3 linked regions of the Danio rerio genome follow. The protein of the gene in region 2 interacts with the protein of the main gene of each other region in a pairwise test. Links are inferred from orthologs where the notes say so. Each region holds a gene or a part of one and is shown on either strand. Other genes may lie near its edges.

Region 1 (10,634 bases), on a different chromosome or scaffold from region 2:
TAAAGACTGCATTTACACTATAAATCTGATCTTTTCCGAACAAATCCAAGATTTTATTTCTTTTTGTTTATATTAAGTTCTTACCTAAAAACGACTGTAGTGATAAACCGAAAATGCAATGATGTTTATCTAATTGTTGGAATCTATAGTTTCCTTATCTGATTTGATTGAGGGAATAAAGATATCGCGTTATGGATGACTGAACTGCCGGCCTCTGGAGCATCCTCTTCAGGCGTTTCTTCCTCATTAGAAGACTCACGGCCTGGGGTCCAGGCTTTTCTGAGATTTGGTTGTCAAATTTAGAAAACTGGATAAATTAAACCCTGAAGTTGGTTAATAGTTTCTAGAATGTGAGACAATAAGATTGCTAATGCTCACAATTTTTGAAAAGATGTTCTGACAAAGATTTTTTTAAGGAGCCGTCTTGAGGTGTGTGCTACTCGCTCATATCGAGACCGGCAGTCCTGTTTAGTAGAGTCTAACTGGTGGTGCAGCCAATTTTACACTCACAGGATTTACATGAGAACATGGAAACTGGTGTTTGAGGCTCACGGTATACATGTTTCCATGTAATAAAAAGTCTTGTCGTCCATCCCAGTTGTAAGAGCGACAAATAATAACTTGATTTCTAGTTGATCATTTGGGAAAGTGGCAGAAGGTGGATTTTTCTGATGAATCACCTGTTGAGCTGCATCCCAATCATCACAAATACTGCAGAAGACCTACTGGCACCAGCATGGACCCAAGATTCTCACAGGTATCAGTCACGTTTGGTGAAGGAAAAATCATGGTTTGGGGGTTACATTCAGTATGGGGCGTGCGAGAGATCTGCAACATCAACAGCCTGAGGAATCAAGACATTTGTGCTGCCCTTCACATTACAAACCACAGAAAAGGGCAAATTCTCCAGCAGGATAGCGCTCCTTCTCCTACTTCAGCCTCCATTTCAAAGCTCCTGAAAGCAAAGAAGGTCAAGCTGCTACAGGATTGGCCAGCCCAGTCACCAGATATGAACATTATTGAGCATGTCTGGGGTAAGATGAAGGAAGAGGCATTGAAGATGAATCCAAAGACTCTTGATGAACTCTGGGACTCCTGCAAGAACGCTTACTTTTACATTCCAGATGACTTTATTAATCAGTGATTTGAGTCATGTCAGAGATGTATGGATGCAGTCCTCCAAGCTCATGATGGAGTCAGACACAATATTCATTCTGTCTCCACTGCAGCAGGACTTTATATTCTATACTGGACATTATTTCTGTTCAGTGACAAGACTTTAGTCTAAGCAGAGTCAGAATTATAAATCAAGACATGATCATATTTTATTTTGGTCAAACAAGTGTAATCTACAGGCCTTTGCCTTTCATATAAGCCACTTCTGATACCAAATGATCAACTAGAAGTTATTATTTGCTGTTCCTTAAACTTAGATAGGCGACAAGACATTTGTCAGGTAGTGTACTACAACTTGTATTATTTAGCTATGCCTAGGTATATCTAATATTCATCATATAGCAGGCATTTCACTCTTTAATTCATTATTTAAGGTGTGCTTTTACCACAGGCAATATGAGTGATTTGTTTTACTGGCAATATGCCATACTGCCAAATAATCAACCACCCTGACCTAATGTGGAAGAGAAAAAGTATTTGCGTACAAAAAAATGAACCACACAAATCACGAGAAATGTTTTTGGTTTCTTTTTTGGATTGTTGCGGTCTATGGAGGATGAGGGAGCTCTCTGAATTCACCTAAAATATCCTAACTTGTGTTTTGAAGATGAACTAGTGATAGGTCGTTCATGAACGACTCGTTCATTTTGAACAAATCTTTAATATGACTCGGGATCTACGAGTCCTCTCAGGGAGTGATTCGTTCATCCGCATATGCGCACATCTGTATCGTTTATTAAATTCTTTTGAGTCGTTCATTGCGGAAAGGCAGAAGCCAATCATATGCGTTTAGAGCCGGAAAAAGAATTGATCTATTCCTCTCTCGAGTCCTCTATCGGGTCTGAGTCATTCGTTCATCACGGGCCAATCATATGCGTTTAGAGCCGGAAAAAGAATTGATCCGTTCCTCGAGTCCTCGAGTTTGAGTCATTCTGTCACGTGATGAACGAACGACTCAAGAACCAGAAGACGTGAAAGGTGAACTAATTATCATGGCTCCTATCAGCTCAGACTGTGCACATTGGTTAAGATTATATGTGACTGTCAGTGTAACGTGAACGAACCACTGAGATTTGAAGACATGAAGAGGTGAGCTGAGCAAAGAGACAACAATACCTTCATAGACGAAACAGCAGGTAAACTTCGAACTATTATTTTCTCCTCTTATAGTATTCTAGTTATGACATTTGTGGTGTGATCAACCTTTTGGGCTAGTTGTAGATGTTTGGAAGCAATTCATAACATTTTAATAATATTTTGGCAAATTGAACGAAATGACTCGAAAAAGGATTCGTTCATCTCGATGAACGAGACTCAAAGATCCGAGTCAGTAAAATGATCTGAACTTCCCTTCACTGAGATGAATGAAGGGCTCAAGGAGACTGGAACGTAATGAGTGTGAGTAATTAATAACAGAGTTGACATTTTTGAGTGAAATAACCCTTTAACTGGCATCAACAAACTTTACAACGCAGACTCTTCTGCTTTCCAATACATCTGCTTATCTCGAAGTTGGATTCAGCTTGTTGTGGTCATATCAGTGCCCACTTTGATCTCCTCTGGGCTTGTGGTGTTATTGGACAACGTTTGCGCCGTTTCCTCTCTTGGCCTCTTCCAAGCGGAGCGAGTAGCAATCCAGACAACGAGTGCACCGAATGCAGCAATGAGCAGCCCGAGAACATTCACCAACACGGCTTCAGGAGGAGAGTCTTTATAAGCAGGACTTTTCCTGAAACACATGACGGACAACACAGTTGTGGTCAGGAAGTGTATTTGTGTGTGTGTTTTTAATCTGAAGCAGCACTTACAGGCTAAATATGAGTTTCTCAGTGATGCCCATGAGAGCTGCGGCGATGACACTGATGAAGATGAAGAGGCCGCTGTAGATGTGCAAAGGCATAAGAGCTGCACGCACACGCACTGGGGTGACGGGTATCAGATACACAGCGATCCCCAACACTATCTGAATCACCAGAAAGAAGAGCTACATCAAAACCGATCACATGCAACACACACACACACATCTGAAATACCAATACATATCTAGACGATTAGCAGGGGTCTTTTAACCATTCTTAAACAGAGCAATTCCAGAGTTATGGATGTGACATTTGCAGTAAAAACTCAAAACAGTAAAAATATACGTTAACATTATATTGAAAGATCTGTTTATATTTTACAAAAAAATCTGCATGGTTCAAGCCTGCAGATATCATAATGCCAAATTTAAGACTTTAAGACCTTTTGAAGACTATTAGGTATTAAATTTAAGACCTATATCACAATATCAAAAACACGCATACACAAAGAGAAAATGAAAAAAAAAATTACTAAATTAGTGGTAAAATGAATGTATTTAAATTGAACAGTACTAAAGGTAGGTTAGATGCACCACTGAACTACAGAAAAAAACCAACAAACATCTTAAGGCTGATTTATACTTTTGCCTGGCGCCGCATCGCACACCTCACGAAACGGACGAGGCTTTTATACTTGACCGCCATTGAGATATTCTCTTAATGACAGGGGGCGGTTAAAAGAAACAAGACAGTAAAATCAGACGGATAAACAAAGCAGTAGAACGTTTCCACAACTTCGTCATATCATTAATATCATTAAAGATTTTTTAACTAATTGTTTTTTTATAATTTATTATGATGATTATAAAGATTTTTATAATCATTCAAGATTTTTTAAATCAAATTTTGATGCATCACTTGCTTTTGTTCATATCTACCGTACAGTTCTACCGATTAAAAGTTAAATACAAATAAAAACATGGGTTGCTCTAAGATTATATTTTTTATTATGGCAAGAATAAAACAACAACAACAAAAAAAGTACACTTACAAAAAATTATGACGTTATTATTATTATTTTTTTGCCCACTCAATTCACACATTACTGTCTGGCTAGTTTCTGTCCTCCACTTATAAACTAAAAAGGAAATAATGGTCAAACATTCCTGACCATTACCACCAATAAAGCCTAGAAATTGGGCATATTGTAAACTGATAGGTTCAAATATTATTTTCCAGTTATCAAAGAAATAATTGTTACTTAATTTTCGTTTGTATTATATATCTACATCAGTGTAAAACCTATGAATAGTGGAAAAACATATTCTGTAATAATAAAACCACCTGGGTCTCCACTTTTGCATGGCCTCTTTTTTTTTTTTTTTTTTTTGTTTTAACAAACTTATCCCCCTCTCCACGCTGGATTACACACAAGAATCTAATCACCGTGACGCAGCTTCAAAAATTGGTTTCAAACCGCAAGAACGAATTTGCTCAAAATAACGCAAAAACAACCAATTTTCTTTTTTTGTGTGTGAAATATACGTGTCCCTATAGTGTTTATAGCAGCATGGGACTACTAACATATATTACTGTGAACATCTCAAAATATGGGTTCCCTGCTGAAATATCTAGCTTAAACCAGCCTAGGCTGATTGGCTGGTTTTAGCTGGTTGACCAGCCTGGTTTTAGAGGGGTTTTGGCCATTTCCAGGCTGGTTTCCAGCCATTTCCTGCCTGATTTAGCTGGTCTGTCTATAAAATGACCAGCTAAATCCAGCTAAAATCAGCTTGACCAGCCTGGTTTAAGCTGGACATAGCTGGTTTTAGCTGGGCTCCCATCCTGGCTAGGTTGGTCAAGCTGGTTTTAGCTGGCCATCTCCCAGCTTGACCAGCTAAGACCAGGCTGGAAATGGCTGGAAACCAGCCTGGAAGTAGCCAAAACCCCTCTAAAACTAGCCTGGTCGACTAGCTAAAACCAGCCAACCAGCCTAGGCTGGTTTAAGCTGTTTTTTTCAGTAGAGTTTTGGTGTTTCGTGACCCTTTAACATTTGGTAATGTCCATTCTCATATTATTTTAAACTAAAACTGACTCTCACAAAATATGCTTTTGTCCTTAAAGTCATTTGAACGTTGTCAGTATCAATAAAACAGCTTCATTCATTTTATTTACGATTTACATGTCAACTTTTTCAGCTGTTTAAATGCAATAAGAGAGCCTAGGAAATTTACATACAGACTTGCACACAGTATACGTCTGTTCACAGTATAAGAAACAACTACATAATGTGTAGTCCATTCATTCATTCATTGTCTTTTCGGCTTAGTCCCTTTATTAATCTGGGGTCGCCACAGCGGAATGAACCGCCAACTTATCCAGCAAGTTTTTACGCAGCGGATGCCCTTCCAGCCGCAACCCATCTCTGGGAAACATCCACACACACACACTCATACACTAAGGACAATTTAGCCTACCCAATTCACCTGTACCACATGTCTTTGGACTGTGGGGGAAACCGGAGCACCCGGAGGAAACCCACGCGAAAGCGGGGAGAACATGCAAACTCCACACAGAAACGCTAACTGAGCCGAGGCTTAAACCAGCGACCTTCTTGCTGTGAGGCGACAGCACTACCTACTGTGCCACTGCCTCGCCAGTAATGTGTAGTCATTTCAATGAAAATAAAGTCAAATTCAAAGTTTGAAATTTAAAATATATATATATTTAACAATTAAAAGTGAAAATCTGAACCACATTTCAGCTTATTTTAAATAAGTAGTTTAAACAAGCAGCATTTTTAAATGTGTACTTCATTCACCGCTGATTTACACAAATCTGCCAAACATTCAGTTTACCTCTATGAGAACTAAAACTTCACTTACAGCACCTGCTTCGACCCTGTGTAGATGTACACCAGTGTCCGTGAACTCATACCTGTGATGGATACAGTACGACAGCAGCCAGACCAACCCAGCTGTGAAGACTGTACATGTTGGGAATGTTTTTGGCATTGTGGAAAACAAACACAGCCACCACAGAAATCACAGCCAAGATGAAGGCGAGAATATGCAGCCCTGCGTGGATCAACTTCATCATCTGCTTGCTGCACCTCCAGGTCCATGGCAGTCTGTACACTACAATTGCTGAGGAGGAAGAAAAAAAAGACGTGAAGAGCATTCAAATGCCATGAGGGGGGCGATGACGTTTTAAATACTCGAATACAAACATGTCCCAAGAAACTAACATTTCTCCTTAATAATATAGTAAGTATTCTTTGGAAATTCTAAGTAGGGAAATCATATTAGCAGCCAATGACTATCAACATACAGCATTGTTTGCAGTCAATTAAACAGTGCTGATGTTGTTTTGAGGTCATGTGACTACCATGGTAAACAAAATAGGGAGCGCGTCACAAGCTGTCACTGAACGAATGTGCGAATATAAAACCCACTTTGCCTCAATGCCAAGAGCATTCTCCGATCTTTCACTAACATTCTGGAAATGTTCTCTCAGTGTTTTTTAAATGTTCTTTCTGTAACATTAATACAGTGTTCAATATTATGCGGTCATACTGACACATCATAATGTTGTCATCGTTAGACATCGTTAGCTGGATGTCCACTAAACACGTGTAATTTTTCATCCTTACATCTCAGCAAGTATTTTTGTGTTTAAAAGAAGTTTAATAGACGTCTAGACATAGATGGCTGGCCTAAAACAAGGCTACCTATAGGCAGTTGGGAAAAATTTTAAGAAAAGCCTTAAACAAGACTACACATCAATTAGACAGGAATGAATACCGACACACGTGAAGTCTGTCTAATCGGTGCACATCAGCAAAAGTCTAGTTTTGGGTTATTTTTTTTTATGTCTATTAGATTTTTACTGACAGTCTAAATATAGCCTAGCTTTAGCTATTGAGCCAGATTAGAGTCACAAAAATAATACATTTACAAAATAAAACGAATACATCTACAACTCAAAATCCAATAATTAAGTACAATTCAGAAACGCACATTTTCAGTTCATAAATTCAAAGCACAAGTAAAAAATATGCAAATCCAAATCATCAAATCAAAACAAAATTAGTAAAATGCAAAAATACAATTCGGAATTTCAAAACACAATTCAGAAATAAACAATTGAAATTCGTAAATTCATAACACAATTCAAAAATAGACAAATCCAAATTCGTCAAATGGAAACACGATTTGTAAATACACAAATCCAATTCAGCAAATGAAAACACGATTTGTAAATACACAAATGCAATTCATAAATTCAAAACATGATTAAAAAATACACAAATCTAATTCGTTAAATGGAAACACGATTCGTAAATACACAAATGCCATTCGGAAATTCAAAACACGATTCCAAAATACACATATCCAATTTGTCAAATGAAAACACAATTCGTAACTACACAAATACAATTCGTTAATTCAAAACACGATTCATAAATACACAAATCCAATTTGTAAACTCAAAACATGATTCATAAATACACAAATCATATTCATAAATACGCAAATCCAATTCGTAAATTCAAAACACAATTCGTAAATACACAAATACAAATCAATTGGCAATATTAGATTTTTAACTGGTGAACTTACAAATTGTGTGTTATGTAGCGTATTTACAAATTATGTTTTAAATTTCAATGTGGATTTTGTTAATGTGAATTGTGCTGTCCATGTATGAACTTTATTTTGTAAATGTTTTATTTTTGAGACTGATCTGGCTCCATATTAGCCAAGTTGCGTTTAGACGTCAATCAAACACAACATTCAAAGCATTCAAGTCTAACATTTACCCTAAAGAAAACAAGGAACATTTCTCTAATGATGTTCAATGTATTTAAAAAGTTTTTAACGTTCCGTTAAAAGTAACCTCATGCGAGTTTAGTTTTATTTTGCTTTGTTTATTGTTGCGAAAAAACGCACTTGTTCGGAGTTTAAATCATTATACTGTCCGTTTTCATATCACACCCAAAATCATGAGAAAAGCAACGTTACGACACATTAAGGTGGGCTACTTAAGTTATTTAAATGTTTTGAAAACTGTAATGTAATTGTGTGGGTCATAAACGTGACCTGTTGCTTTAAATCCTGATTACACACTCAGGAATGTGAAACCTCAGACTGTCTCAACAGATGCAAACACTCAACTCCTTACCGATTCCTTGAAGAAAAATAAAGCCTATAACCATCAACAGCGGGTGCCAGTTAAACTCAGCCGCTCCTCCGTCCCATCCGAGCCCTTCTCTGTAGTGTAAAACCCAGGATAAAGCGACCGCGATCGACACAATCCCGACCACCGACGCCAGAATGAAGAACAGCAGAAACTGCGGGTAGTTCTCCATCATCCTCGAGCTCTGAAGTGCACTAGATGACACTCAACATCTGACTGACCCGCTGCAGGAAAACACACACAAGACACGTCAGTTTGGGGGCTGGCTCGCGTTTTCACTTCTCACCCAAACAACGGGATGTGTCCCAAATCATAATATGGCGCCTGGGCGGGCAGCATCTTTTCTTAATTAACAACGTTTGAATAGAAAAGCATTAATACCTTTAAAATGACACAAATGACTGAGATTTACATTTACAATCTTTTCATGCATTAATAACACATCTAAAAAAATTGTTTGTGGTTTGTTCAAACTACTTATTAAAAATGAGCTGAAACAACACACTTCTTCAGTTTTTTTGGGGACTGCTTAATTGTTTTATGTTCAATCCACTTAAATTTGTAAAAACTAATAACTTAATTTGCCTCATGTCATTCCAACACAAATCGATTGGTGCATTTTGACAGCATATATAAATAAAAATACAATAAAAAAAATCTAAAAAATTATGAATAAAGAAAAATAAGTAGCAGGGGAGTGGAAGTTCTCAAAATATGAAAGCAAAATCCTTTATTAAAGTATATAACTATCTTGATTTTGACTTTTATACTTGGCATCATCCAAAAAAAAAATTAGTTTCTATAGTTCAAATATCTTAAATAATCTTGAATTAAGAAGCGTTTTTCAGAGAATAGGATCAGTCAAAATTAAGTGAGTTTTTCCTTAAAACAAGCAAACTATTCTTGTTTTTTTTTGGTTTAATTTTAGTTTGAATTTAGTTAAATTGTTATTTTTCTTGTTTTAATATTAAATTAAGAAGGGCTTTTTCAAGAAATACTTCTAAATTCAATTCATCTTTATTTCTGTACAATTTTACAATGTAGATTGTGTCAAAGCAGTTTAACATAGAATATTATAATAGATGGAAACAGTGTCAGTCCAGTTTTCAGAATTGAGTTGCTTTCACTACTGAAAGTCCAAACACAGAAGAGCAAATCCATCTATGCGAGCCAAACCTAGCAAACCTGTGGCGAGGACAAAACTTCACCAATTGACGAAAGTGAAGGAAAAACCATTGAGAGTAACCTGCCATTTTTACTATTAAAAGCACATTTTAATTTAAATGTGATGTTTTTTGTTTTTATTTGTTTTTTACATATAAGCGCAGTACAGTGTTCATGTTCAGACTATGTATAATATTTAAATGGCTGACACTAATAAATTTTCTTATTAATAGTAATTCATCTGCCACATTTTTGAACTGTGAAGAGTTGTAGCTGCTTTACTGGGCCTACTATGACTACGCTACTGTACTTCAGTACTGCCCATGGAACTTGGAGAGACTTTTTTTTTCTGACGTAGTTTTTAATTTTATAAACATCATTTTAAGGTTAATGTTATTAGCCCCTTTAAGCTTAATTATTATTTTTTCGATAGCCTACAGCAGTGGCTTTCAAACTTTTTTCCTCAAGTACCACCTCTGAAAAAAATAGTCTCTCCAAGTTCCATGGGCAGTACTGAAAAACAGTAGCGTAGCCATAGTAGGCCCAGTAAAGCAGACACAACTCTTCACAGTTCAAAAACGTGGCAGATGAATTACTATTATTAAGAAAATTTATTAGTGTCAGCCATTTAAATATTATACATAGTCTGAACATGAACACTGTACTGCGCTTATAAGTAAAAAACAAATAAAAACAAAAAACATCACATTTAAATTAAAATGTGCTTTTAATAGTAAAAAAGGAAGGTAACTTGCCTAATTACCCTTACCTGCCTAGGTAACCTAATTAACCAAGTCAAGCCTTTAAATGTCACTTTAAGCTGAATAGAAGTGTCTTGAAAAATATCTATTAGTATCTATTAAAACTATTATGTATAGAAATGTGTTGAAAAAAATGTGCTTTCCGTTAAACAGAAATTGGGGAAAAAATAAACAGGGGGGCTAATAATTCTGACTTCAACTGTACATCTCTAGCTAAAATATAATCTTTGTTCAAAATGTCTCTCTGCTTAGACTTATGACACCTCATGCTGTCTAAGTAGGCAACTCATGAAGTCTGTCAGCTCACTAAATGAAACACAGGCTGCTTTTCTTTTTTTTTTTTTTCCTCGACAGTTTTGTAAGCAACCACAGTGTTATACAACGTAACTTGGTTTCACAATCATGACAAGAGAGTATCTGTCACAAAATTCTGTCTTTATTAAGATAGTTTTGAGTTAATGTTTGCATACTGATATAAATTAGTAAACAGAACCGTGTCAGGTCATTGATGTCAATGCATGAATGCTCACTGATCAGC
Region 2 (10,634 bases):
AATCTCTCATAAAACAGGTTATGAAGGCCAAAATGCTAATTGTGCTATTTATATCCGAGCATTGATAATTATTTTCAAAAATAAAATAAAGCAACTAAATTAATAGTTGGTCAATCATGGACTTTAAAATTACCAATAAATATTATTTCATATTTAATATTTACTATATTTAATATTATAAACATTGTATTATTTCTAATATTAGTTCTATGCAAGAAATATATCTCTTTCTCTCTCTGCATCATTAAAACAAAAAGTGGGAAAGGTTGTTGTAATATTAATAATTTAATTTATATCAAACCAATGCCAATTTACTTTAAGAAAAAAGAAGCAACTTCAGCACTTTGGCCCTTTTCTGTATAGAAAAAAACACAGCAGCTTGACTTCAATAGTGTGTGTACAATGGTTTTGAACCATCATTTCTGTGTAATACTACACTCCAAGCTGACTCCAAAAGATTGGCACCAATAGCCGCTTTTCCACTATCGCGCCTAAAGCGAGCGAGCCAGGGCGAGCCAAGGCCAGTCGCGTTTCCACCGTCACTTCCGGGGCCTAATCGGCCCAAATCGGGGCTTTCTTGGGGCTACTGAATACCTTGGGCCAAAGAGGGCCAGCTTCAGGGCGGAGTGAAAGGAGAGGCGGGCACAGTTTTCCGATCGCACATGAGTACATGCGCCAAACACATAAACAAATAAATAAATAAGGGAAAGAAACATCTGAAACAAATTACAGGCTGGGGTCTTTTTGCGTATGATCGCCCTTATGTTTCTCTTTTTAATGTAAGGCTGTTATATAAAATAATAAAGTAGTTTTAATTTATAAATGACTTTTCTTTGCTGCATCCTCCTTGATGTTTCAATAACGCATAATAATCTTTACACCATATTAAAGACACAGCAGACAGTAAAGGTTTTCGAGAGTTTCAGTCAAGTTTAAAAGGTGCGTTTGTGCGCGTTTAAATGCCTGTGTGTGTGTGTGTGTGTGTGTGTGTGTGTGAGACTGAGGAAAAGAGCACTCCCTTCACAGCTCTGTTGATGCCGCGAGCAGATTTTTCTTTTCTTTGCTATTGTTTTTATTTATTTTGGAGATAATACACTATATGAATACAACAGAAAGACATTAAACTTTAGAAATTTCGTGTCCACATTTGTAGGCTCAAAACAATAGTGTCATATAGATAAAATAGCCTAAGTTATAATGAAATAATTTAAAGAATTACAAATATCATATAATAAAATCACATTAAATAAATAAACCAATATAAAACTAACAAAAGCTAGCTATAACAATTAGGCACAATATCAAACTGTTTTAAAGCCATATTAAACTTTCATTTTTCAAAAGCCTGTCTGAAAAAAAAGATTTGAGATATTTTCTAAAAACAATAAACACCGGAGAATGTTCTAAATATTGTTTATAAAGTATTTGGATACGATGATATTAATCAAATCATGCAAACACAGCATTTTCGGGGTGAGTGAAAGCAAAAACTAGGCAACCTTTTTTTCTGTCTGCAGCTGCGCAGCACTTTTTTGACGCATCGGGGAAAATTGCAAGTTCAAAATGTGTTCTGTGTCCTCAAACAAGTGTGTATGTTTTTATATGACGTGGTAAAATTAAAAAAGGAAATTTTAAGTACATAAAGAGCTTAGTGCATAGCTGCTGAGCGCAACGAAATATAGGCTATTTTATTACGTACTGCTCTTATGTGCCGAAACACTTAACACTTTCCTTTACTTAAGATATGATAAGCAACATCTTTAAATAAAGGGAATCACCTAAGTGTCATAAAAGCCTATATGGAAAAGTTCATGTTTCAGTTCTCTCCAGAGCATTTGGGATGAATGTTGGACATCGTCTGTCTAACTGAGGATGTCATAAAATACATTTTATATCGAGTTATTAACGGAGAATTTTATATATGGGGTTTTATATTATGGATGTGTGCGCTCCCTGCGCTGGGTCCCTTCGTTAGTGGCAAGACCACTGGATTTCGATGCCAACAGTCGGTCAGCGAGTAAATGAATACGATGAATGAGAACACACAGGCATGTGTGTACAGGGAGTGCAGAATTATTAGGCAAATGAGTATTTTGACCACATCATCCTCTTTATGCATGTTGTCTTACTCCAAGCTGTATAGGCTCGAAAGCCTACTACCAATTAAGAATATTAGATGTGCATCTCTGTAATGAGAAGGGCGCAAAATAACTGCCAAAGAACTGAGAAAATCAAGCGTGCAGCTGCCAAGATGCCACTTGCCACCAGTTTGGCCATATTTCAGGTCTGCAACATCGCTGGAGTGCCCAAAAGCACAAGGTGTGCAATACTCAGAGACATGGCCAAGGTAAGAAAGGCTGAAAGACGACCACCACTGAACAATACACACAAGCTGAAACGTCAAGACTGGGCCAAGAAATATCTCAAGACTGATTTTTCTAAGGTTTTATGGACTGATGAAACGAGAGTGAGTCTTAATGGGCCAGATGGATGGGCCCGTGGCTGGATTGGTAAAGGGCAGAGAGCTCCAGTCCGACTCAGACGCCAGCAAGGTGGAGGTGGAGTACTGGTTTGGGCTGGTATCATCAAAGATGAGCTTGTGGGGCCTTTTCGGGTTGAGGATGGAGTCAACTCCCAGTCCTACTGCCAGTTTCTGGAAGACATCTTCTTTAAGCAGTGGTACAGGAAGAAGTCTGCATCCTTTAAGAAAAACATAATTTTCATGCAGGACAATGCTCCATCACACGCGTCCAAATACTCCACAGCGTGGCTGGGGAGAAAGGGTATAAAAGAAGAAAAACTAATGACATGGCCTCCTTGTTCACCTGATCTGAACCGCATTGAGAACCTGTGGTCCATCATCAAATGTGAGATTTACAAAGAGGGAAAACAGTACACATCTGAACAGTGTCTGGGAGGCTGTGGTTGCTGCTGCATGAAATGTTGATGGTGAACAGATCAGAACACTGACAGAATCTATGTATGGCAGGCTTTTGAGTGTCCTTGCAAAGAAAGGTGGCTATATTGGTCACTGATTAGTTTTTGTTTTGTTTTTGAATGTCAGAAATGTATATTTGTGAGTGTGGAGATGTTATATTGGTTTCAGTGGTAAAAATAAATAATTGAAATGGGTATATATTTGTTTTTTGTTAAGTTGCCTAATAATTATGCACAGTAATAGTCCCCTGCACACACAGATATCCCCCTAAAATAGCTAAAACTAAATACAAACTAAAAACTACTTCCAAAAATATTCAGCTTTGAAATTAATAAGTTTTTTGGGATCACTGAGAACATGGTTGTTGTTCAATAATAAAATTATTCCTCAAAAATACAACTTGCCTAATAATTCTGCACTCTCTGTATAGACATACATTGTACTGCTGTACAGTAACATGTCATTTGTTTGTTTTGGTTGTCCTAATTTTAATAGTTTCGTAATCATGTGGTGTGCTTTATCTGCCTGATTCCTGCTGAAGTGGGCGGATTGGGTGACGTTCGATTAGGAGGATGTTCTGAGGGCTGGGTTTGCATGACGTGCTGCGAGCTACTAGCCCGACAGTGGAAACGCGACATGATTTCGGCCTCACTGCTCAACCTCCTGGGCTATTGGCCCGACCTGGCCCGATAAAAGCCCTGGCTCGCACTGGCCCGATAGTGGAAATGCGGCTAATGAAACCCAACTGTTTCGTCACTTTGCATAGGTTCTTGATGGACCCAAAAATCTGCGAGTAACCATACCAAACAGACGAAAGCTCATTGAAATGATAGCCGCGTTCTGTGCCTGCGCAACAGTCTGATAATCTAATAATTCATATCATTGCATTATTGTTGGAAATATTTGAGAAATTTATTGAAATTACATCCAGCCTTTTAGTGTTCCTTCTTGACTTGAATTGTTTACCTGCTACAACACTTCGTGACCTTAGAATTATAAGGTTCTATCTGACATTTTTGTCAAAATTGAGCTATTGACATATTCTAATTAAATGACAACTTACTAACATCATGGTATGTTCTTCATTAGTTGTTTACATGTTAAGACTTTTTAATTAAAAAAACAAATGGAATGCAAAAACTTTGAAGTTCAATATTTCAAAATCATTCAGAATGCAGATAGAACCTTATAATTCCAAGGAGACGACTTATCTATGTCACACGCGTGCTCTGATTCGTTCCTGAATAACCAGTCAGTGTACTCTCTTCAGCTTATGGTCTGACATCGATTCTAGACACTGAATCAGGCCATTGAACAATGTTAACCCGGCGAGAGTCGACACGTAGAATACACCAAACCAACTAGCCTGATCAACGGACAGACAAAGTCCAACAGCAGACCATTGGCTTGGTGTGTCCCAGGCCTTACAGTGCATTAAAAAGATGGCTTTGTAAGAATGCTAATAAGATCAATGAAAAAAAGCACAGCAGAATAAGCACATACTGATTTTGAGTTGTCTTTTAATCCTCTCCACATTTCGGTCTCTGTATTGGGCTTGAATTGTATTACAGCGACCCATCAGTTCCAGGAATTCACGGGACAAAACACCATGCTTTCAAAAAATGATGAGGAGACATACAAGATCAGATTATTCTCAGGCAAAACAACACTGTTTAAGTTTAATTATTTATTAAAACATGAAATATAAAAGCAACTGACCTGAGTTCTCCTCATTCTTACATTCACTGGGATATATTTTTCTTCAACTTCCAATTTCTTAGGTTCAAGACCTATGATGTAAATGAAGTGATTAATTTTTCACATTTGTTAGGTTGAGCAGAAAAGTTTGATTGTCAAAAAAAAAGCTTCATTTATAAAATTTTATTTATCAGTCTCACTTTTTAATTTCTTTTGGATCTGGCTGGCCATCCCTTTGATGTCTTCTCTGAGTGACTGCAGTTCCTTTTTCATACCTGTGCTCAAAGAAAAATATAATTTACTCATTCACTCACTATCCTTTAACTTACTCTCTTCATAATTATTAATTAATACACACACACAACATAAGATTATGTAAATGAATAATAAAAAACCCAAGTGAAAGCTAAATTACTTACTGTCCTCTGGAAGTGCAACTCCTAGCACTGTTTTCTGCTTGTTCTCCAATTCGGAAACCTTTCTCTTAAGAGTTTCAAGTCCCTCTCGAATCTCCTGAACCTACATAGAAAAAAGAAAATATATTTTTATGTCAAGTTTCAATGCAAACTTTCCAAGCACAAATGTTATGGAATTCAAGTGACCCAAATGTAATTTATGTGTAATGTTTGACATTACATGAAGTTTGCACAAACACTAAACAGCTTCATTCCTTTATTACTGTTTGCATGTGCATGTTCCTAATCTACGGTGGTGGAGAGAGAGCTCAAATGTACTGTAAGCTAAGATATGCATATAGAAAAACCAAACTAAGAAAATGTGTTCATTCGTTTGACAATATGTGTAAGCAAATTCTCACAACACATGCACATATGCAAAGAGCACATGACAGAAATGTGTCAGGGAACCCCAAAAGAGACAAACCCAGCTACTTCCTGTTTAGAGCCTGTCAGGGTTGCTGTCTGATGGTTATTTTAATGTCCTGGTCGTAAGGTTCCTTGTTGTTTGTACATTTTTTGCATTAATAATTGATAAAAAATGCTTTTTTATTGGTGTTTTTTGTTGGTGCAGTACATTTGAGCGCTCTCAGCCACCGTACTAATCAGTATTTGTGAGAAACCTGCAGTGTAGAAAATCACAGTTCAGAATTGCAGGATTTCTAAATTATATTATACAAGAACCAACAATACACACTTCAGTTCAAAAATCATTAATTACAGAAACAACATGCTACTTCTGTACAGATCCCTAAAACTAGTGCATAAAAGTATTGAAAGTTGCAGTTAAAATGAGAGCAATCGTGCTACAATGACCTTTTTAAAGAAAGCTTCATTTTCTTTGTCTTCATTTGCTGAGGTTCCAGATCCAGGCTTTATCATTAGAGCTACGGTTTCTTCATCTTCATCTGAGGCATCAGCAGTCTAGTAAAAGAGTACACAATACGACACTGAATATAGTTAAGAATATTGTTATTAATAAATTTTTATATTGTATGTTATCATATTTTAAAAATATTACCACCATACAAAGTGCAAGACAGTGTTTCTGCAGCTTAGATAAAGGTAAATAAGGTTAGCAAAATATCTATTTTAAATAATACCTCAAAGTTTAAAAAAAAGTAAACAGATCTGTTATTTCTAAACTTACAAAAAAAAGTCAAAACTGAATAGCCATTAAAAATGTTACTCTTCTCATCACATTACAAAAAACATCTTCCACTATATTCGTCGTTTTGCAAATGTGTGAAAGTCTTAAATCAAGATATATTTTACATTTACTTGACATGTTTTATGAAAAATATATATTTGAATTTAATTAATTTAGGATTACACAAAAAGTAGCTTTAAGGAAAAACACGTTAACATGACAGATAGTGTGTTTTATTGTGTGTGAATTTATTAACATTATAGTTTTTTTGCTTTTACAGGAAAACGAAGTAAAAACCATATACAGGAGATTCATATTTTTCAGTATGTGCAACATTTAGTGTAAAAACTTTGTGAAATTAACCCTTTGTGACTCTCTTTGGGACATTTAAAGGTATTTGTTTGTCGAAAGGCAAATGTAGTCCCACAGAAGAAACTGCAACAACACAATTACGTGAAAAAACAAACGGATGATAATAAACCTTTATTGCCGAGCGAATGACAGTGTATTAATAATAATACAACTAAAAGTTAAGTACCAATTCAACGCTTAACTTTCTTGTGAGAAAAACTAAAATCAATATTCAAATGCAACCATTCATGGCAGCTGTATTTATTTGTAGGCTAAATAAAGTTACACCCCGTTTACCCAAGAGCGCTGGTGCTGCAAGAGGGTGTTAGCCTACCGTTCGTGGACTTTAACCATATATTTTTCCAACACAAGAAAATAAGCCACACAACTATAGATTGTGACTCGTTACAATCCTTGAAGGAGTTAATAAATCGCAGTCGAGCCAGTGGTGACAGTAGTTACATCCGCTGAATAACATTAGCCCGTTAGCCAGTTAGCCGGTTTCCTGCGTGCACTGCCCTGAAATTACTCACATTGCCCAGTTCTTTGGTCCGGTCCCGCATTTTCGATGTATTTTATGGCCAGCTCAGATGAAATGTTCCCGTTTTTAAGAGGTGTAGCTCATCTGTCTCCTGACCATAAACTTGCAAAACTCACAACAGATAAGAGGGAGTTTCCATTGAAAGTCACATTTCACGCCAGCCAACTTCCACAAATAACTTTCAGAGCAGAATATTGATGGACGCTGAGAGATGCTGTGTATATCTATGCTATATGGATAAACTCTGGTTATGTTTAGAGATCAGTGTGGGGCGATGTCGCTGTATATGACTTTACCGTTTTCTTCTTCTCTATCAGTTTGCGGATGTCTGACAAATCCGTCAAGGCTCTTACTGCCCCCTACTGAGCGACACGACTGAGGCTATTTAAGGAAGCCAATTTCCGCCAGAGAATAACAGTTTTTATCTTTTCCCGCTTTTTGTTTCAGATTTCTGAGATTTAAAATCAAAATTTCGAGTTATAAAGTCAGAATTCTCAGACATAAAGTCACAACTGTGTGATATAAAGACATAATTTTCACATATAAGTCATAAAGTCAGAACTCTAAGTTACAATTCAGAGATTAAGTTACAATTTAGAGTTATGAAGTCAGAATTCTAGGATAAAGTCACAATTCAGAGATATAAAATGTCACAATTCTGAGTAAATAAATAAAGCAAGAATTTTGAGATATACTTCACAATTACAGGTTTTGTCAGAAATCTGAAATATAAAGTTGCAATTGTGCGATATAAAGACAGCATTCTGAGATATATGTCACAATTATATAAAGCTATTACATAAGAGTTATAAAGCCAGCTATAATTAGCATTGCCGGCAGCTAGCCCTCTGCAACTCTCATGGTTGAGCAGGGCTGCGCCAGGTCAGTTCCTGGATGGGATACCACATGGGAAAGCAACTGTAGGTTATTGCCACAAGTGTGTTAGGGAGACCAGCTCAACCTGCTGTCTGTATGTCTCCTAACACGCCGGTACATTAATATACTGTCAGTGAGTCCTGTCTTTCAGATGAGATGTTAAACCTGACTCTCTGTGGTCGTTAAAAATCCCAGGATGTCCTTTGAAAAAAAAGAGCAGGGGTTAACCTCGGCATCCTGGCCAAAGCTGCCTACTAGCCTCTGTCCATCATGGCATCATAACTCTATCTCCACTCCACCAATCAGCTGGTGTGTATTCTGGTGCAATATGGCTGCCGTCATTCTGGTGGATGCTGCACAATGGTGGTGGATGAGGAGATTCCCCCACCCCCCAAAAAATGTGTAAAGTGCTTTGAGTGTCCAGAAAAGTGCTATATAAAGTTAAGGAATTATTATTAAAATTCTGAATGCAATAACTACTTCAAAAAAATTACTCAGTGGCGAAAACGGGCTTACATATCCACATGGGTGCATCACTCAGTAGGGGGCAAAAAGAATCTGAGTTTTGAAGTCAGAATTGCGAGTTTTAACGGATATCAGATCAGTAATTGTATAAAGAAAGAAAAGAAAATCGAAAGCTGGAAATCATAAACCTAAAAATAGATTTGACAGGAAGAACCAAAACTGGAGATTTTAAAGTGATGACATGAAGAAGTTTTTGCTTCCCAGAAGAGCATTATAGTGAAAAGTCTTTCAAAGTACCATTTTAGTTTACTGATTAGCATGTAAACACATACAAACCCAACAATTAGATTTTTTTTTATAGCTCTGCGCTTTGCGGTTTTAAGCCTCCTTGTTAGAGCAATCGAATCCCATGCGGAAGGTCGCCGGTTCGATACTAGCTTGGAGCGGATTGGGTGGCGTGGAACTGGCAAGGTAACATAAACAGAAACGCACACAGTGATGACAGAATTCTTATTTTCGGGTGAAATATCCTCTTAAGAATGTGATCTTATGAAAGATAATATTCCATGTTAGCTTTATATAACTTTTTATTTAACACGAAAAATTTAATTTTCTCATGTAAACAAAGAAAAACAATATGGCATAATTCATTATTTGCTTATAAAACAGTCATAGTTGAATTCAGCAAATTAACCACATAACATATAAGAACAAAATAAGAGAAGCAGATTGATGCTCTACTGCCATCATTTGCGAATAATACAAATCTAAACGTCTTTCATTCCTGACTGAATAACATAAAATACTGCTAAGTTTCCCTTTTTCAAAAGAACAGATAATACACATAAACAAAGCTTATTCACATGCTAGTTTGCCATCAAATGAGGACAGTGTGATAGCAAATGCCTGTAGAGCACACATGGGAAAGCTGTAGTCCATGGAAAACACATCGTCTGCAACCCGGCCAAACTGCATTACAATGTAGTCCACTGGAGAGAGATGTTGAGCCACAAAAAAAAAAATCACAACTGGGAACTGTAATATTGTCATATGTTATAAATAATTTGCGAGTAAAAACACATACCATTATCTGGATGGACAATCTGAAAGTTTTTGACAGATGCCTGAGTAACTCGGCCATGAAAATTAAGCACATACGACTGAGTTTGCTCATTCCAGCTGGGTGATTTATTGACTAGAGTGACAAGATTCTCTTTATTACCGTTCTCGTATCGGGTGAGCAGAGACTCCAGCTCCTGGAACATGCAAAGTAGATCTTTATTATTAATATGGTATTACTATACATACAAATAAATCAGTAGTGAATCAAACTCATAAGAAGATTTTTTTTTAAATTTATAAATATTCCGTCCCTCCAGGATTTTGCAAGTCCAATAGTTATTGAGATCAAACATTTTTCACATTTTACAAGGTTTGTCTGTATTTTCACATAAAAAAAAAAACAATAATTGAAGCAAATAATATCAAAAGTGTTGAGGAAAGGCATCACAAAATCAATAATTTTTAGACCACAGATAAAAAAAATTATTAATATCATTTATATATTCATTCATTTTCTTTACGGCTTAGTCCTTTATTATTCAGGTGTCGCCACAGAGGAATTAACTGTCAACTTATCCAGCATAAATTTTACACAGCGGATGCCCTTCCAGCTGCTACCCAACACTGGGAAACACCCATACACTCTTGCATTTACATATACTTCACATCTTGCATTCGCTTCTTGCTGTGGGGTGATCGTGCTATCCACTGTGCTACTGTGACACTGATTTATTAATATTATTAATATAAATAATAATATTGCGCAGTATGGCACAGTAGGTAGTGCTGTCACCTCACAGCAAGAAGGTCGCTGGTTCGAGCCTCGGCTCAGTTGCCGTTTTTGTGTGGAGTTTGCATGTTCTCCCCGCGATTGCGTGTCTTTCCTCCGGGTGCTATGGTTTCCCCCACAAGTCCAAAAATATTCGGTACAAGTCTGGGCAAGCTTAAATTGTTTGTAATGTATGTGTGTGTGAATGAGAGTGTATCACAGTGATGGGTTGCAGCTGGTAGGGCATCACCTGCATAAAACATATGCTGGATAAGTTGGCGGATGATCCCAAGGATTCCATATCCGGGAACAGGCCATATCCTGAGCTG
Region 3 (10,634 bases), on a different chromosome or scaffold from region 2:
TTCTGGGCATTTATCATAACCTGAATCATGAACCGCTTGAAAATTCTCAGTTTCTCTGGAGGAACTGGATTCACCAAGTATGCATTTGAGTAAAACTTTAATATTTGTTTTATTTTATACATGTATTTTATTATATATGTATTTTTATATATGTATTTTTGCCCAATTTATTTATTCCACTAAATATTGCTTTGTTAACTCTGCTGAAACTGAAACATTGATGCTTTAATGAATAATTTGCATTGCTCTAATTTATTTGCAGATTCAGAAGTGATGACATTAAAGGTCCCATGAAGTGCTTTATAATGTGGATGTTTTATCTGATGTTTGACGTAAATTTAAACCGAAACACCAATAGAGGGTGGGGCAGGGTAACTCCTCCCCTAAAAACAGCCAATAGCGTTTTGTTTAATCACCGCTCTGTCAGCTCAAGCACAAAATAGGGGCGGGCCGGGGCATGTCAGATACTAGAGAGCAGTAAATTGGTTATGATTTGATGAGAAACTGCAGTATGAGGTTCATGTGAATAAAACAGTTGATTCGTTTGGGTGAAGTGACAATCTATAAGCTTGACATGTTCATATCAGTTTTATATCTTCTAAACTTGAATTCTGTCACTGTTTTGATTCTGTGGGACCTTTAATAGATTACAGAATAGAAGACAAATGACATTTTATTCAAACACACATGATTGATTTTCTTCTGGAAACTGCCTTGAACTGGAAACCTGTAACCATTGACTTCAATAGTATATATATATATATATATATATATATATATATATATATATATATATATATATATATATATATATATATATATATATATATATATAAATCCATTAGAATTTATAAATCATCACCCATTCATAGCAATGAAGTTCTCTTAAAAGAATAACACAAACAAATGTTTAATTATTACTGAATTAAATATGCATGTTTTTCCAGTATAAGTAGCATTTCTCCATTGAAGAGACTGTAATTTTGGGGACAGATGTTTTTTTTTTTTCTCTCATATTGCACATTGTAACTCAATGGTTCAATTTCTAATTCACTGGCCAGAAAAGCACATTTGCTCCCCTTAATTCCTCCTCATTATCATCATTACCATCATCATAAGTGTGAGGATTTTGCTCTTCTACCCCAAATGAGCATGGCATGTAATAAAGTCCTGGATCTCAGGAGTTGTGTGGTCACCTGAGTTTGATGACCCAATACAGGACGAGGAACACAAACAGAGCAAACAGCAGCATGTAGCAGTACACCTTGGTCTGGCTTCCCCTGGAGAGGAGCTTCAATCGGCCCATGGTGGCTCCCAGCAGACCTCCAGTCGAGTCAAAGTCTGAGTCCTTAAGGAGAAAACGAGTCAGATATTAAAGCTATTCACAATACTACTATCTTAAAAAAGAAATTTAATTAAAGGGGTTTAACATGCAAGTACACGTATGAAGTCAGAATTATTATCCCCTGTATACCCCCCCCCCCAATTTCTGTGCAACAGAGAGAATATTTTCCAGCACATTTCTAAACACATTAGTTTTAATAACTCATCTCTAATAACTGATTTATTTTATCTTTGCTATGATGACAGTACATAATATTTTACTAGATATTTTTCCAGAGTATTCAGCTTAAAGTGACATTTAAAGGCAGTAGGTTAATTAGACAAGTTAAATTAGGCAAGTCGTTGTATAACAGTGGTTTGTTCTGTAGACAATCGAGAAAAAAATAATGATTAAGGGGCCAATAACACTGACCTTAAAATGACTTTAAAAACAAAAATTAAAAACTGCTTTTATTCAAGCCAAAATAAAACAAATAAGACTTTCTACAGAAGAAAAAACATTATAGGAAATACTGTGAAAAACTCCTTGCTGTTAAACCTCTTTTAAGAAATATTTGAAAAAGAAAAAAAAAACTTCACAGAAGAGCTAATAGTTTAGACTTCAACTGTATATACTGTAAATTTGTTTAGCATGCTTACGTTTCAAAAGATTACAGCGTTGCTTTAACCACAGCACAATTGGAACTTTAGAATGCCTTAATGTGAATGCATGAATATTTATTCTTAAATCCCAATGTCAATCTTTTAGTTTTTTTTTTTTTTACAACAGAACACTTTTTAATTTAGAGCTGCACAATTTCAGCATTCAATGTCTGCATGTGAAATTGTCACATCCCTGGATCTGCAATGTTGAGATGGGATTATACTAAATCCAACACCACCGCTCAGAAGATGAGATCTGCAAAGTTTAGCCATAATACATTGAAATTAGGGATGCTCATTTCAGTTAATTTTGCCAACTGACAACTGCCACTTGTTAACAGAATATTAACCATTAACTGGTCATATTAATATTCAATTATTATTTAATTTAAAAACTTGTATTTTGTGTCTGACACATTAAATATTGCATTTTAAAATACTTATTCTAAAACACACAACAAAGCATCTTCATGCACAATCAGGGAATCTTCCGTCCATTTCATATTTGTTTTCAAGCAAAAAAAGGAAAATTAAGAAAACTGACGTTTTTCGGTTTTCTTTTGTTTGCAATAGAACAAACTTTTTTTGTTGTTGTTTTTTTTTAGGGTAGGAAAATGGATAGATGATTTTAAAATTAATAATGCACATGTAGGCAGTGCTGAACACCCATTTGTCTCTGATTGGTATTCAAGATTTGTAAAGTGCTAACTAAGTTCGGTGCTAACTGATAAAGCATGTTAAATAGAAGCTATAAAATAATAAGATGCATTACCTCACTGTGATTTAACCATTACAGAAACAGATGTGCCTGGCTATATCATATCTAGATAAATATGCCTAGATATCTATATCATATCTAGAGAGCTAGTACAATTTACGTTTTTCTGACTAATTCGCGTGTATTTACATTGATATGATGCACATTTGATCAATTAGTTATTGTATTTCACCAAAACTACACACATTTTTTACTGTGAAAACAAATTAAAAAAAGCTATTTAAAAAATCAGTAGTTACAACTATTCAGTTTTGCGAATTGTATTATTACCTCATCAGCTCCTCAAAATAATGAATGATGATGATGGGATTTTTTTAAAACCATGTGACAACTGTGCCACTCCCACCTGCCGGTAGAAACAGATACTGCAGAATAGCTGACAATTTAATTACATGACTTAATAGCTGCGTTAACTGGAGCACAGTGATGTATGAGCTAATTTTAAAAACTTTGATAACAAAATAAATTTTATACAACCTATTTTTATTTAAGTGCAACATATTCCAACAAAAGATCAGGGGCTTTTGACAATACATCAGGGGCTTAAGACGCCACAGTCCCCCTCTTGAAACACACTGTGCATTTCTGTGTGTGCTGTACATGTAGAAACACCTTTCTATTTGCACCTGACACTTCCAAGGACTCAATGGGAAAATCTCATACATTTGTGGTACAAATCTTGTGAAATTATATCAATATCGCAATATATCGCAGAAAAACTAAATACTGTCAATTTTTCCCAAGATTGTGCAGCCCTATTTCAGATGCACAAATAAAAGCTTTGTTTTGTTACTTTAAAATTCAAACAATAAATGCTTTATTCTTATACTTTTCAATACATATTTAATATATAATGTACGTTTAAATGAATCCGTTACAAAGGAATTGGATTACTAATTGGAGTAGAAACAATTTCATAATTAGATTTAAATTATTGTAAAAACAGTCTCATGTTTGCATTTAGAATTATTTTAGCATGGATTTCAATATCTAAAAACTAATTGCAACTGAATTTAATAAAGGTCCCTGTTGGAAACTGTACACTTAAATATAGCAATGCTTAAATAATAAGGCTCCATATATAGTTTATAGTTGTTCCCCTCAATAGCAGTTGTACATTTATAGTTTCTTTACCCTTAATATCAACTGTACTTTTAACTGAATTTATTTAAAGACACAGCCACAATTTGTATAGTAAAAACATCAATGTTATGAATTTTTCCACCCATTAAACAGAAAACACCAAACTTCAAAACAAAAGTCATTTTAGTGTACCATGAAACCCCTACTAGACATTGAAAAACTTCCTGACACATACCATTTCTCCCAACATCTTATTGTGGATCTTGACTTCATTTCCAATGTCAATAGACAACTGCAAAAGGCATAATTAAAAGATTAAACACATATTTTCCAAAAATAAGAATAGTTATGCAGAGTAGTTAATCAAAATAGAGCATCAGATATGAAGGCCACTCACGTGTTTAAGTGCGTGTACTTTATCTCTCAGTCCCTCCTGTAGATGTTCATTCTCCTCCTCATACACACTGTATCCGCTCGCAACGTAATTGCCTTGAGGGCCACCTTCTCCTGTACAAGAAACATTCAGGTCAGGTCAAATCCAACGGAATTTAAAAAAAAAAACATTTAAAATCAAGTATTTAGTACTAAAAATAATAAATCTTATTACAGTAAACTGAAATGTTGCCTTAAAGAACTGGTTCACGACAAAATGAAATCTGTCAATGTTTACTCGCCCTTTAAATGTTTCAAACTAGTAGCTAGTGTTGTCACGATACTGGAATTCAATACCAATCGATACTGAAGCTTAAAAAAGCATCCATCTCTTGCTAAGATTTAAACACTGTTGATTACGTTCTTAAACACAGCTGATTTGCCATTGTGTTCACATGCTCAACAAAAATGACTGTGATTGGCAGTGAAGGTCATTAGTTCACCAATCTCACTGCTGTTCACTGAGTGTAAACACAGATACAGACACTGGAGCATTTAAAAGCCGCAATTCATCAGCAGATCGCTTGTATGTGAAGTTATAGACAAACCAGCTGATTGACGTGACTTTAAAATGCTTGTGTCCCTGTATCTGTGTTTACACTCAGTAAACAGTGTTGAGTTTGGTGAACTAATGACCTTCACGGCCAATCACAGTCATTTCTGTTGAGCATGTGAACACAACAGCAAATCAACAGTGTTTAAGAATGGGCTCAACAGCGCTCAAATGTAAGCAGGAAATGGACGTTTGTAAAATTTCAGTACCGATTGGTATCGAATTCCAGTATTGTGCCAATGCTACCTGTAACCATTCACCTCCATAGTAGCAAAAACAAATACTATGGAAGTCAATGGTTACAGGTTTTTAGCTCTGTTTAAAATTTCTTCTTTTGTGAAATATAAAAATTGTTTGGGGTGACTATCCCTTTAAGAGTAATTGACAAGTATGCACTGATTTGATTGATCAAATATTCTCTAAAGTTGGAAGTGAATTTGAAAAACCTAAACAAATAAGATTGAAATGTTCATCAGAAACTATTTAAAATCGAAAAGTAAAAACTCTGGATAAAATCTTGATTGTCTACATGAGACAAAATGTTGAAATTTGCAAAATAATGAATGTTTTTTTAAATTAAAAGGTAGATTATTTGCTTGGTGCCTCATTTTATCAAGTTTAAAATGGGTTTTATTTGCTTTATCAATCATACTTTACTGTTCAAATTAGTGCTGGGCCGATAAACAATATTATATCGAATCACAATAAAATTTTTGTCAATAACAATGACAATCTCTTGACTTTTCTACTCTATATTGATCTAAGAGCAAATCACACAGCAGAAATGTGCAACAATGGGAATCCAAAAGGGTGTTGATATTAGAGATGCACCGAATTTTCAGCCACGGAAATTTATTGGAAAAAAATGTTCTGCCATCTATTGCAGGGGTTCCCAAACTTTTCAGCCCGCGACCCCCAAAATGACAATGCCAGTGACTCGCGACCCCCAATATCATCTGAGGTTGTTATAAATACAGAAACCTTGCATGCAATGGTGCACACACGCCAATACACCCAGGTTTATTCTTTGTGTAATTTTTTAAAATGTATCTCAGTGCTGTAAATGGGCCAGAAAGTTTAAGCAGGTATAAAATCAATCTGCTGCATCCGATGCTATTGCTGTGTCTTTAATATTATGTAATTACTACAGGGGTCACAATCCAATAGAACTAGTAACTATAAGTTATTATATAGTTTATAGTAACTCTAAATGACTTTTTTTCTCTTCAGTAGGTTACAATATGGTAATTCCGGTTTAATAAAAATAAATAGATGTTTGGAAATCCCCAGGCGACCCTTCCTTTCATTGTCCTGCGACCCCTCAAGGGGTCCCGACCCCTAATTTGAGAACTACTGATCTAATGGACTCTTATTTTTGTGGCTTCAGTCAATGTTAAAGTACTATTTTAAATCTGGAAGCATTGCCAACTTGTATTGAAATATATGATGTTATGCTTCATATGGAAAATAATTAACGAGTTTGAATTCTTTTTTAATATCGCCCAGCCCTACTTCGAATAGAAGGTTTTTTAATTTCAGCTTAGATGTGTCATATTTATGCTGTTACAGTATCTCGTGTTGTTCATACACAGAAGTTGCTTTTCTGTATGATATAAATATATATGTAAACATGATTAATAAATAACGCCACTGACGTAAAGCTGGTTTTAAATTCACACATTCGAACTTTCTCCTTAATAATATGATTTCAGAAAAGTATTATTTGGAAGTTCTAAATAGGGAAATTATATTAGCAGACTATTAAAAACATTGTTCACAGTAAATTATATAGTGTTGTTTTGTAGTCATACTTACACGTGATTTCAGTCCGAATATTCAAACTAGCATAAAGGTAAACAATACAGGGAGCTGTCACAGAACAAATGTTCGAATATAAAAACAACTTCACCTCAATAACAACGATGGTGAAATAGAGAAATAGGAGTTGCTAGTTACTGCAAGAACGTTAATAAACGTTATTTATCCATTTAACGTTAACGTTAATTCTCCACACCTGGATTTAACGTTAATGTGTGGGTGATGATTTGGTCATTCAGAGATTGCTTACTGTCATAAACTGTGACCAATAACGTTAAGTTTTCTAATTGAGTTGAGATTTTAGCTTAGCATAAGCTTCAAGCAATACGACACATAAAAACGCAAACTTACCCAAACCAGCGCGCCTCATTGTCAACCCAGTAATCTATATGACGTGGATACGATCACTGCAGTCTGTAAAATAATGTGACAAATATTCGCTAATGTTGATATTTAGAGAATCTGTACTTTCCCCCTCCAACTTCACAAGCGCCACGACACCTCTTACGGAAGCCGCAGAGGATTAAACGATACGCGTTTAAGTTACATGGGCTTCTGGGTACTGAAGTTTTTACTGCGAGTATTGCGGTTAATTCTTGTCTTTATTTGTCATAATTCTAACATTTTCTTCAGCAAACTGTGACTTCATTTCTCAAAAGTAAGTTGACACGACTTGCAGGGTTAATTTAATTGAAAAATTGCAAACAGCTGTAGACTTTCTCACAGTTCAGACTCTAAGACAAGTCAGATTTTCAAAAATCTGTGACACTATTATTTATTTTATAGAAAATGTATAGACTTTCTCTCAATTCTGAATTTATCTTCATTCTGAGGTTCTTTCAAAGAACTGTTTTACTTTTTATAACTGATAGTACAAAGCCTTATATGGGAGCGACATGGTGGCTCAGTGCCTCACAGCAAGAAGGACGCTGGTTTGAGTCCCGGCTGAGTCAGTTAGCGTTTCTGTGTGGAGTTTGCATGTTCTCCCTGCGTTGGTGTGGGTTTCCTCCGGGTGCTCCAGTTTCCCCCACAGTCCAAAGACATGCGGTACAGGTGAATTGGGTAGGCTAAATTGTCCGTAGTGTATGAGAGTGTTTGTGAATGTGTGTTTGGGTGTTTCCCAGAGATGGGTTGCGGCTGGAAGGGCATCCGCTGTGTAAAAACTTGCTGGATAAGTTGGCGGTTCATTCCGCTGTGGCGACTCCGGATTATTAAAGGGACTAAGCCGACAAGAAAATGAATGGAATGAATGAGTTTGCATGTTCCCCCATTGTTAGTGTGGGTTTCCTCACAGTTTAAAAAAACTTACCCAGACTTTAAAAGAAACAGACTATGAGCAAATGAGTTTAATAAACACTGAAAAGTGTTTCACTGACTATATATACACAAATATTTTTTTACATTTAATATGCAAATTTTTGAATATTCATTTCTTTTTCAACAATATAAAATTGAGCATTTCATCTCAATGTTTGCGACGCGTTGGCACAGTGGGTAGCACGATTGCCTCACATCAAGAAGGTCGCTGGTTCGAGTCTTGGCTGGGTCTGTTGGCATTTTTGTGTGGAGTTTGCATGTTCTCCCCGTGTTTGTGTGGGTTTCCTCTGGGTGCTCTGATTTCCCCCACAAGTCCAAAGACATGCGGTACAGGTGAATTGGATAAGCTTAAATTGGCCATAGTGTATGTGTGTGATTGAGTGTGTATAGGTGTTTCCCAGTGTTGGGTTGCAGCTGGAAGGGCATTCGCTGTGTAAAACATATACTGGATAAGTTGGCAGTTCACTCCGCTGTGGCAACCCAAGATTAATAAAGGCACTAAGTCAAAAAGAAAATTAATGAATGAATCTCAGTGTCAAGAAATGCTTCTAAATCATTACATTTACACACATTTCAATTTTGTGTGGTGTGGCATTATTTAGTCGACTCTGATTTTGTGTGATTTTGTCTTTCTGGTGTTTCCTGCTGTCAATAGAGAAGTTCGGCGAAATGACAAAGAAAGCTAATCCTAATTGGTCCTCGTGCATGCATTAAAAATGCTGATTGGCTCACAGATAGAACCTTATAGAGCCAAGCTAGAGTTCAACTTTGTAGATACACCTTTTTTGTTTTTTTAAATAAAAAGCCTTAAAGTAAACAACATATAAAACACATCCCATAATGTAAATAAGTTGCCATTTAATAAGAATATGTGAATAACTCAATTTTGACAAAAATGTCAGATAGAACCTTATAACTCTAAGGTGACGAAATGTAGTGCCAAGTTGTAGCCTACGGAGCCATATGATAAGCTAAAAATAAATAAATGTGGCCTGTTGCAGAGACAGTAACACACAAAAAAATTGGTCAAAGCAACTGAATGCAGATTTAATTTGGCAAATGAAGAAATCATTTTGTGATATATATATATATATATATATATATATATATATATATATATATATATATATATATATATATATATATATATATATATATATATATATATATATGAGCAATTCCAGCGTTATGGATGTGACATTTGCAGTAAAAACTCAAAACATAATTTCACACAGAAAGTATATGTTGACATTATATCGAAACTTCTGTTTATATTTTCCAAAATAGCTCACCACAGAGTTATGGGAGCACAAAAATATCAATATGTAAACATGTTTTATATTTTAAATTAGGAAAATAAACATGCGTTATGGATGTGACAAAAAAAGTTTGCGAATTTACAGTCGACAACAGATTATTTAGAAATTCTGACAGTTAAACTGCACAACCCAAAAGACACAATGCTCATCAAACAGGTATGAGTCGGCTCACTATAGAATTAAAATGATTGATTTTATTTTATTTGACATTTTTGCATTTATGAAGAAAAAGTGTCGTTATGGATGTGACACATTTCCGTTATGGATGTGACAGCTGTGAAATTGCCACTTGTGTGATTTTGGCAAATTAAATATAATAGTTTGAAATACTGACAGATACATTCACGAGTATTTTTACAGTACTGTAAAATACTTGCTAACACAAAAAATGTAAAAACGGTTTGTCTATTTTGCTGAAAACTAAATAATTTTTTATGGCAAGGTTGACATTTGCGTGGAATTGCCCATATATATATATATATATATATATATATATATATATATATATATATATATATATATATATATATATATATATATATATTTATGAGTCTACATTTTTAATGTAAACTATTTTATGTTACTTACTTTCTCCCAGACCCATATATATCGAAGCTGATATTTAGCCACACCATATTGAGGTTTCTTAACATCTAGTTTATGATGTGTGTTGTTAGCGGTTGTTAGCCCAACGCTCAACCCCATCCTGGAGGACCAGGACATACACACATACACTACGTACAATTTAGCTTACCCAATTTATAGAATAAAATCGCTGTCATAAATATTTCGTGCATAATTAAAATTCACGCATCTGTAATTATAACAGCGTAAAGGAAAACAGAACGTACTCGTACATTTACAAGGGTACAAATACAAAATCTGCGATTAGAACAGACACAGATACAACATTTTCTTTGTCTGTTTGTATATGACTGATAAATGTACGATGGGTGTACTTTACAAACACGAAATACAGTTTCACCACGGACGCAAAGACCTGATTACGAGTATGAATCAAACTGTTTCATTCGTATCGTAATCAGGTTGTCGTGTCTGTGGTGAAACTGTATTTCGTGTTTTATTCTATACAATTCACCAACAGCACATGTCTTTGGTCTTTGGGGAAAACCGTAGCACCCGGAAGAAACACACAACAACTTGGGGAGAACATGCAAACTCCACACAGAAATGCCAACTAATCCAGCCAAGGCTCAAACCAGCGACATTCTTGCTGTGAGCCGACGTTGCCACTGTGTCACCCATTTTATGTGTTACGTAACATTTTTTAGGTTAATGCATGCCATCCGCTGAAGCGCCATTACAGGGTCTGTCTTGCCCTGAACTC

The links.
Region 1: the proteins of stx4 (region 2) and cybrd1 interact in binary tests that used the Homo sapiens proteins (3 or more experiments, as listed by UniProt). The two-hybrid records come from large-scale screens. The link is inferred for Danio rerio from reciprocal best matches to the Homo sapiens genes STX4 and CYBRD1.
Region 3: the proteins of stx4 (region 2) and bet1 interact in binary tests that used the Homo sapiens proteins (3 or more experiments, as listed by UniProt). The two-hybrid records come from large-scale screens. The link is inferred for Danio rerio from reciprocal best matches to the Homo sapiens genes STX4 and BET1.

Annotation. Positions count from the first base shown.
Region 1 is NC_133184.1:3,503,838-3,514,471, forward strand, and holds cybrd1 (plasma membrane ascorbate-dependent reductase CYBRD1), read right to left. Parts: upstream 6,734-10,634; 5' UTR 6,688-6,733; intron 6,227-6,687; 5' UTR 6,153-6,226; coding exon 5,910-6,152; intron 3,140-5,909; coding exon 2,985-3,139; intron 2,906-2,984; coding exon 2,695-2,905; 3' UTR 2,399-2,694; downstream 1-2,398. UniProt on the Homo sapiens protein: Plasma membrane reductase that uses cytoplasmic ascorbate as an electron donor to reduce extracellular Fe(3+) into Fe(2+).
Region 2 is NC_133187.1:22,372,148-22,382,781, reverse strand, and holds the start of stx4 (syntaxin-4), read right to left. Parts: upstream 7,310-10,634; 5' UTR 7,156-7,309; coding exon 7,126-7,155; intron 6,016-7,125; coding exon 5,908-6,015; intron 5,156-5,907; coding exon 5,056-5,155; intron 4,912-5,055; coding exon 4,837-4,911; intron 4,729-4,836; coding exon 4,658-4,728; intron 4,551-4,657; coding exon 4,442-4,550; intron 1-4,441. Other genes in the region: uncharacterized protein si:dkey-220f10.4, read right to left, coding at 9,330-9,463, 9,559-9,730. UniProt on the Homo sapiens protein: Plasma membrane t-SNARE that mediates docking of transport vesicles. Necessary for the translocation of SLC2A4 from intracellular vesicles to the plasma membrane.
Region 3 is NC_133194.1:43,528,514-43,539,147, forward strand, and holds bet1 (BET1 homolog), read right to left. Parts: upstream 7,147-10,634; 5' UTR 7,021-7,146; coding exon 7,002-7,020; intron 4,355-7,001; coding exon 4,245-4,354; intron 4,140-4,244; coding exon 4,083-4,139; intron 1,349-4,082; coding exon 1,193-1,348; 3' UTR 898-1,192; downstream 1-897. UniProt on the Homo sapiens protein: Required for vesicular transport from the ER to the Golgi complex. Functions as a SNARE involved in the docking process of ER-derived vesicles with the cis-Golgi membrane.